Drosophila melanogaster: one gene and its partner. The protein of the gene in region 1 interacts with the protein of each later gene in a pairwise test. Each region holds a gene or a part of one and is shown on either strand. Other genes may lie near its edges.

What was found.
Region 2: the proteins of sol (region 1) and Chd64 interact in a two-hybrid assay, tested with the Drosophila melanogaster proteins (one large-scale study listed by BioGRID).

Annotation. Positions count from the first base shown.
Region 1 is NC_004354.4:21,348,518-21,353,341, reverse strand, and holds the start of sol (small optic lobes), read right to left. Parts: upstream 3,063-4,824; 5' UTR 2,734-3,062; coding exon 2,492-2,733; intron 1,708-2,491; exon of another isoform or gene 1,581-1,707; coding exon of another isoform or gene 1,576-1,580; intron 1,483-1,575; coding exon 857-1,482; intron 590-856; coding exon 1-589. Other genes in the region: peng (penguin), read left to right, coding at 3,591-4,036, 4,638-4,824. UniProt on the Drosophila melanogaster protein: Has a role in eye development. Calcium-regulated non-lysosomal thiol-protease.
Region 2 is NT_037436.4:4,119,387-4,124,128, reverse strand, and holds the start of Chd64 (Chd64), read left to right. Parts: upstream 1-1,740; 5' UTR 1,741-1,919; coding exon 1,920-1,973; intron 1,974-4,742.

The DNA.
Region 1 (4,824 bases):
GCCTGTGCCGCCTGCGCAGCAGCTGCTCTTAGTTGCTGCTGGGCCAGGGCCACGCATTCGTTCTCATACAACTTGTTGCTGCCGCTGGAGCTGCTGCTGTTGTTGTTGATGATGTTGCTGTTACCGCTGCTATTGCTATTGCTGTTGCTGTGATGGTGATGATGATGGTTGGAGCTAGAGGAGACGGAGGAGCTGCTGGCCATTGGCTCCGACCACTCGTTGACGGCTATGAAGACGCCGTTCCGCGGAATGGTGAACTGCGTGGGATTCATACTCACTGCTGCTGGCTCCCGCTGGGTTTTCCGCTGCAGCTGCTGCGGATTAGCCGGTGACTTCTGCTGCGGCTCCTGCTGTAGATTCAGATTTAGATTAACGACCTGACGCAGTGGCTTCATTTGGCCATGGCCGGCATCCTTGGCCGCCGACCGAGAGAGCGTGGTGATGGTAAAGTTGTACTTCCGCTTGGCACCGCTCTCGCGAACCACCTTGTGATTCTGGTTCTTGTTATTGTTGTTCTGTTTGCGCCTGCAAAAAGTGTCGTTGGCGATGGCAAAACGGGAGTTGCTGCAGGCGGCCACGGGGGGAATCCCTGCGAGAAACACATAGGGATTAGAATTGGATTATCGGATAACAAGTGCGTGCATTCCGGTTATGGGAAGCTAACACTTTCATCATGATCTGACTAAGATTAAGAACTTTACAAAAAGAGAATAGACTTTAAATAATTCGGTTGTCCATTTAAAGAGTTTCTTCTAGTAAAAATTTGGAAACGATAGGCTGGCCAATAAGAATACCTTATAGTTATTTCCTCAAGTAACCTTTAACCTTTCATTAGTTCGTTAGCTGATGAACGCACCTGTCAGCTGCGGCGCCGGCTTGATCTGCGGCAGATTGAAGATGTCCTTGCTCTGGTTGTTCGCATAGCAAATGTGGCAGCTGCGCCCGGAAGCGCTCTTGTCGATAGCGGTGCTCAGGCTCTGGGTGCGGCGCAGTCCAGAACCCGAGCCCGGTCCGGATCCCGATCCGGATGCAGATCTACCTTTGAGGTGGCGCTTATGCAAGTGCTGGGAATGTAACTGATGCTGATGCTGCTCCTCCAGTTCCTGGTGGAGGTAGTGGTGATGATGATGTGGATGTGAATGGTCCGCCGCCAGCAGCTCGCCGCGATTGCCCAGGCTGCCAGCCAGATCCTGGCCTCGGTCGGCGGCGATGGCGTCCTTGTAAATGGGCGCCAGATAGCTGACCGTGTCGCAGATGAGGCAGTGCCAGGTGACCGAGCTGTTGTCCGTGCCGCAGGCGTGGCACACCCACCGCCGATTCAGGGCCGGATTCGAGAAGTGGCGGTACAGCTCAATAGAGCTCTTGATGTACTTGCGCGTGTCCTCGCAATCCACGCAGTTGGCGGGCAGATTCTGGCTGTTCCGCTGTGGTCTTTTCAAGCATCCGCGCAGCAGGGACTTGTACACATGCTTGTACTCGCTCCTGCAAAATAGGGAAATGGGGTTTTTCGTTTTTCGTCGGGTTTGGATGGGATTCGGTGTTCTTGAGCTGTTTGGGCTTTCCCCACTTCCTGACCGCAAAGGTTATCTCAATGACTGGCCATTTTCCTACTCTCCGCTCGTCCGCTCGACTCGGAAGTTGTTCCTACACCTCTTTTGCTCTTCAGATCGCCGAGCGAGTTCGCGAATCGATAAACTTGTAAACAATGCTTCTTTATCCAAATCGATTTTCCCCAATTCTCGCTGCTCCTCGGCTGTTTTGTTGTTGCTTCTGCCTCTGCTGTGTATACATGCTCTCACATACACACACTCGCGCACACACACACACACACACACACACACGCTCAGGGACAATCACCAGTGCCGACGGCTTGGCTTTTAAAGCTAGACTTTTGAACTGTGTACTTGTACACACTGTACCTTTTCCTAGCCTTTCGAAACTTAAGTTCGTAATATAAAAATCTTTCAACTTATTCCTATACTCCCATTCGAGTTATTCCTATGGATAGTTAATCAGGATTTTCCTAACCGATTTCATTGTTTTCTTATTCTTTAAGTTTCATTATGCACAAAAGGGTTAGTGAGAACTATAAAATTTACTAAGATTTACTCGGTCTGCTCTTTGGATATTAAAGTTCAGCATAGGAGCTTACGTTGGTAAGCTTTTGGTATTATTATTCTTTGAAAGTTAAGGTTTTTGATTGACGAATTTTACCGATGAAAGTATGTACATATTTGTGTATTTGTATATTTTCCAAAGTGTGCATACAATGTGTGTGCGAAAAAAGTTGGATTTGAAAACGCCACCGATTTCTATACACATTACCATATGCGACATGATTTTAGCTAGCGCTTTTGTCCTCCAATTGGATGCCACCACTGGCGCCCACATACACACACACACACACGCATACAGACACAGACACACACAGGCACATCCTCGCAGAGGAGGCATACAGGCTGTTTGTTTTTGTGGCGACCGCTTCGCTTACCTGGCAACCGCCGCCCTGCCCTTCTCCTTGTCCCTCTCCTGCCCCTTCTCCGCCTGCTCCTGCTCCAGTGCATCATCAGCTGTCCAGGAGGCGGTGATGCTGCTGCTGCGATGCTGCTGCTGCTGTTGTTGGGGGAACACCTTGCGGACGGTGCCGCAATTGAAGCACTTGAGCGACTCCGTGGGATTGATAGTGTTACATTTGGTGCACGACCACTGCAGCACGGATGAGATGGTGCCCATTGCGCGGGGGAGTCGCAGGAGTTCCCAGATTCCTTTCGACTTCTGAGTTGTTTCTCTTGCTGTTGTTGTTTTTGTTGTTGTTGGCTGGCTGGCGGGGGAGTGGATGTGGAACTGGGACTGTCTATGGAAACTATGATGTGTAGGTGCGCTTTCGAGCTGGTGGCCGGGCGGAGATGGAGATCAATAGGAGGACCAGAACCCGGGACCAAAACGAGGACCAAGCAGTGGCTTCCAACAGTTGCACGCCGCGTTCTCCGTCGCCGTTTCACACCATTTTTTAACTGTTGCCGCTAGGGTTGTCGACGTTCGCGAACACCTCCAACGACAAGGTTGCCCGAGTGCGTGAACTCTGCCGGACAGGGTTGCCAGCGCGAGAAACACGGCTGCTACCCCGCAAAGCCAGTGTTGGCAAGTGCCGTTAATGAAAAATCGGTACCTTCAATTTTTAGACCAATTCTAATATGTTTTTGGGAATGAATACATACATATATTCATAAAACGACGCAAATACATGCATAAAATTATTTGACCTTCTATAACAAGTAATCAACATTGAGGAGCTTAGTTTAGGAAGAGTTTAAATTTAATATTTAGACATGGATTATTATTTTTTAGCCGCTTTCAAATGGAAAGTCAAATTGAACTGAACGCATTAACTTGAGTTAAATTTTAAACAAATAGAAGCACTTCATTGATACTTACTGTATGTGGAACGAAAATACCAGATTTTGGTATTTACACAGCTTGGGTATACTGCAACAATCTGGTCACTCTGCATCAGCAGCACGTGTAGTTCGCTTTTTTGGCAAAAACATTTGCTGTTATTTAGTTGTAGTGTCCAAGAAAACGCAGCAAAGATGGTTAGCTCGGAGCCGAAAGGACCTGCTAACGTGGCCAACACGGCCTCGCCCCTCAAGGCCCATGAATCGTCCGGCAAGCGCGCCAACGGACAGAAGTTTAAGCCCGGTGGAGCAGGAGGCGCCAGGAAGTTCGACAAATTCGGCGGAGGAGCAGGCAAGTCGTTTGTAAAGCCAGGCGCTGGTGGTGCCAAGAAGTTCGACAAGTCTGGGCCCGGTGGCTTCAAGAAGTTTGACAAATCCGGAGCCACCGGCGACAAGAGGCTTGGTGGCAACAAGTTCCGCGGAAAACCACAAACACAGCCACAGGCGCCGGCGGAGGGCGAGAAACAGGACTGGAACAAGTTCAAGAAGGAGAAGAAGGACCTCAAGCTGAAGCGCAAGAGTGCCAAGGACACCTACGAGATCAGCAAGGAGGCCAACCAGATCCACGAGAAGTTGCGATGGTGAGCATCCCCAAAAACACGATGAACAGCCCAAACAATCGGTTATTATCATCCTTAGCGCTCAAATTACCTATACAAATTATGATAGCTCAACAAAATCGGGCTCTTTCATGCACTTATGTACATTCAGAACGTACAAAGTTGTTTAAATTTCATAAGGCATCAATCTATACGATATAGTTTTAATAATTATAAGTCATTTTGGTTCCTTAAAGGACAAGATATCGATAAACATGGCCATGTGGATCCCAAAACGAAGCACCTGTTCGTGGAAAAACCGAACATTGCCACTTGGTTCGAATTCAAAAACACCAAACATTTTATTCATGTTCTTGAAACAATAATAGCTAGTTAAGCATTTTGATCAGTATCAAAACTAAGTTAATATAGCCTTGTATTTCTGTATAAATGTTGAGTTAGAACCAAGAGCGTAGATTCCAAAGACGCCTATTTAGCGCATGCTGTTTTGTTTGGTCATAAACAAACCAGCTCTATCCTCTGTCGCGTTTTTTTTTTTTTTCGTAAAATTACAACTAATGAATGCGCAAATCCTATTGCTCTGATATATATATATCAACATAATTTGGTGCTTGTCTTGCAGCCGCCGAACGGAGAACAAGGACAAGCTGGTGGAGCAGATATACAAGGTGCTCAACGTGGGCGACACTATTTCAAAGGTGGTGAAGGCCCACGACACCGCCCGCGTGATCCAGAGCATGCTAAAGTACGCGTCGCCAGCTCTGCGGGCCGAGATCTCTGAGAAGCTGCTTCCCTTCACCGTGGAGATG
Region 2 (4,742 bases), on another chromosome or scaffold:
CCATTAACCCATCCACATTTACAGCGCCTCACTGCTAGGAGGGCATATTCGAACCCCCTCTTTATTTTTTGCCCAACTTTGCACAGTTGTTCTGTAAGTTAAGTTTAATACGTTGAGCCAACGAATCGTGAGGTATTATTTATTTAAACAAAACGAAACAAACGAAAAAAAAAAAACATAGGAAAGAGGAGGAAATAAGGAAATTCAATTGAAATTATTTGCTGATACTGTTCGCAGCTAGTCGAGCAGATACATAGGTAGCCTGTAAACAATAAAACAATTACACGCGGATATATACACCCACTGTAATCACAGATGTCAGTGCTTGATATACACATGCCTAGGTCTAGTGGAACTGGTAGTTCTACCATGTTGTACTATTTGTAGTAGGAGTCCCAAATCTGATTATGCTTATGTCACCCTTTATTATAGGAATGTTCTCTGTATATTATTGCGTCTCTTTTGCGTCTACGTATATATTTTTTGGTAAATGATTTTTTATATATACATATACACATTTATATTTGTAATTTGTATTTATCCATGTGCAAAAATAAATTATGATGATTATTTTTTAAAGAGTCGTCCCCCTCGAAGCATGCATAACAGATTGTAAAAAATGAATCGATTTATATATAATACGAAAATCACACACTACCCACTTGTATCTGAGCGAAAGGGCCTTAACAATTAGTAGGATGCATGATCGATGTATGCAGATCGGTTATAAAAACAGATATAGCAGGCATATTATTCGCATGCGAAAACCGTTAATAGAATAATATATTATAATGGCAATATGTGTATGCAACTAATAAGCCCTAACTTCTAGTTAATTACTGCTTTCCTATGTTATAAACCAAATGGCGATATAATCAAAACAAAAGACAAGCCCACATAAGTTAAATGTGTATGCTACCAACATAACAAACCTTTGAAGATCAAGCTGAATTATGTATTTCTAATATTAAATATATCACAACCCACACATAAAAAAAAAAAAACAAACACGACAAATAGAACAACAAATTATACAAGCAATTCCCCTATTTATTTAGAACCACACTGAAACACTAAAGAAATTCGCTTCTTATCGTAAATCCACAATTGCATAATTTATACGATTAAACAAAATATATATTTATGTGAATAAACTGTAACTAATTCTCAAGGCAATCATCCAAATGCGATTCGCTACTTCTTGGTTTCCAGAAAGTCCCCCAAAAATGTCATGGTCATCTGAATGGAATGCTGCTGCAAGAACCTCTCGATAAGGGGGAACATAGGAAGTTTTCAATGGAACTTTACTCTGGCGAATCTTATCGGATAGTTTGTACACAACCGCAAAAAGTAGCACTAATAGTGGTTGACTTCTATTAAAAGTAAAGCAACAGGTGGATCATGGAAATCATACTGATTCAGATTCATTATCTTTTCAAAACCTATTGAAAACAAAAGTTACTGGTTTAGAAGGCAAATGAACCAGAAATTTTAAATTTATACTTATATAGTGTAAAATTGTTTCCAGTGCTCGATAGTTCCATGTTTTATTATTTGAAAAACAACTGCCGTTAACAAAGCGGTATGACATCATCAATGCCATCATAACAAATCAGCTGCCGCTGATAAGCGCAGCTTGGAGCTTTTATGTTGTACCCAACCTACTAGGTACAAGACTGAGTGTGCTTTACAACACTAAACTGTTGGCGAGCTTTCCTCTGTTTCGCAGCTCGGACCGCCTTTCATAACGTAGTAAGTTTTCGTTGCGAACGGACGTAGCCCAACCAACTTGGCCTTAACCCTTGCGCTCCCTCCGATTTATTCCGCGGCAAACACATTCCAGTGGACAGTGGTGCAGTTCAGCCCAAGACCAACCTACATTTTAGCTCCCTGCAAACCCGTTTCTTCATCAAATAACTATGGCGTCCAACCGTGCAGCGAAGTCTGGTTTTGCCGCCGAGGCCCAGCGCAAAGTAAGTACCAAATAGCAACAACAACCGCACCCCCCACCCAAAAACCGAAGAGCGCCAAACAAAACAACACAATAAACAAATTGCCCAAAAAAAAATCAACTTTTGCACGGGTGTGTGCGTGAGTTTAGAGCTGCATTGACTTTATTTGGCGCTGCGTTGTCAAGATTTTATCTTCGCGCGCCAAATGCCAAAAATTAGCCAAAAATGGTCTTGAAATTGCCAGCGTCTAACAAGGAATGACCTCATTTCGCTGATAAGTCGAACAAGTATTTATGTACATACATATGTATATAGGAATATATACATGCATGTACACACATGTGTAATGCATGCGTAATTCGAAAGCTTGAAGATGATTTAGGTGATTTTGAGGCATTGTCAGTGCGGGTGATTCAAATCGAAGATCGAGAAAACAGTTGGTTATCCATAAATCAAACAATTAGTAGTAGTTAGTAAAGCTCTGGAAATTTCGATATGAATAATATCCCAAGTTCGAACAGTATACATTATAAAGATGAGCTAATATAATCCTAATTAATTGTGCTGCAATAAAAGCAAGTCTGAATACATAGGTGCTACTTGTGGAGTATCCACTGTAGAAGGAAGACCCTTTGGATGATCTCAACCCAACTATTGCAGCATGGTAGCTTCCGCAATGTAAATTGACATTAGTTCCGTCCATTAGCAGCACTTTGCCTCAAATGCACTCATACAAATGCATCGGGCTTTTGTGGGTGGGATGGGGTTGGGGATGGGTTACCCGTACCCTTCGGCCATTTGGCCCTCGTCAAGTCGGGGTTACGCAATTCCAACCGCCCCTGGGCAGCCCCAAGTGAAATTGTATATGTCGCCGGCACAGGGGATTAAGTGCAGTCCGACGAAATCCACAACAAGACAACTACAGTTACAGCATTGCCCAAACAAAAAACGAAACAAATAATCGAGATTTTTCATATCCGAAGTTTTGTATACCCTTGAGGAGCACTTTACCAAGTTGTTGACAAACTGAAATATTTTGTTTTGCTTTAGCTTTGCTTATCTAAAAGTATTTCCACCCGGATTTCATTCTCTTGAGTCAGCCATTTGGCAAAAGGCCTTGTTTATCGGTATTATCTGTACTAGCGCATTTTTAAAACACAGTATGTTTTAAAACACAGTATGAAGTATGTTTTAACGTGGTTTATGGTGATATATCAGGCACTATGGTTATGAAAAATATTATGAGAACTCTGTAGTGTTTATTTATGCCATATCATGTTAAGCTAAAACATTTTGGTACTTGGAATAGGAAGAACCTTGGCATAGGGTATAGAAAAATAAGAGAAATAGAGGCGAGTGCCTGGAGGCGCAGCTGCTGGCGCGACTCCAAGCCGCGATCGAATGGCTCCCCAGGAGCCGAAGGCGATGATGTCATTCCTTCAGCTGTCCCTCCACTGGTGCTCCTCGATCCCTTCGCGATCCATTCAACTCGAAGGCGTTGTTAGTTTGAGCACTTTTGCCGCTCGCTGGGAGTCACTCATATCTTCTGAGGGGGATTCGGGTTCGGGTTTTGAGTTTTTGGGGGTGACAGGAGGTAGAGGCGATAGCAGCACCTTTTCCACCACATGAGCACTTAAAACTGAGTATGTGGCGTAAGCAAACAGCAAAACAAAAGTGAGGCAAAAAGGTATGAAAGCAATATTTTTGTTTGTCTCATGGGTTCTCTACACTCCGTGCTTGCGTGTGTGCTTTTTCCGACTTTTACGACCAGTCACCGACAAATTGGCATGGATCTCAAGTTTCGGCCAGGGAATTCGTAGCCCCTTTATTTTCAACCCTTTCCTGGGATCGTAGCACCAGCTGTCGGGAAAGTTCTAGGAATGAGGCAGAAAGGTCTCAAGTTACTCAAAGTATGTTTACTAATTTGTAACTACATAAACGATTGAATATATTAGTTTAGCAATCTTAGATTCAGCATGATACTATTTCCTTTCTGGAAATTCACCCCTAAGAAGCCGCACTGTAGTTGTTTTCTTTTCCAACTCCCTCCACGCTCGCAGCTGTATCTCACCGCATTGGCGGCACATGGGCCACGTACTAATCACTTGGCCTTTTTCGGAGTCAAGAATCCACACTCAATTAGCAGTGCATATGTGAAAGACACTGTGTACACACTTGTACATCCGCAGCACGCACCTCCCTGTATCTGTATCTATATATCAGTATAGGTACGGGTATCTCTATCAGTGCGGGCGACACGTAAGTGGAACACTTGGCCCACATGAACTCCGTGCTCCTAGATGGGTATAGCTAGGTATTCATTCCCGAACCTCTCCCCCAAAAATTTAACACTTGTTGGCCGCTAGTTTTAGATAAGCCATAAACAGTCGCGGGAGGTGGTCGACAGCGGCTTTATCGTAAATCAAATGCTGTTTTGGATTTCCGGTGAAACTACTGCCAGTGCCGAAAACACCTCGACAAATGAAAATGGAATGAAATTCTGCCCCCTGTCCAAATCCCTCCGAAAAAGGCACTCGATGGGGGCCCATACAACAACTCAGTCAACTGAAGTCGAAGTTGGTCGCTCGTAAACCAGACTCAAAAATCATATATGTATGTACGCAATTGACCTCGTTACATTTTTGCGGATTTTGTTTATGTTATCGTTGTGGAATTTTTGTCATTTTCCCATTTATTTATCCACCCAAAAGATATCGGTCAGCAATTGTCATGGATCATGACGCATTCGAATCGCAAAAGAAAGCGAAATCGGCGGTGGCATAGTGAATA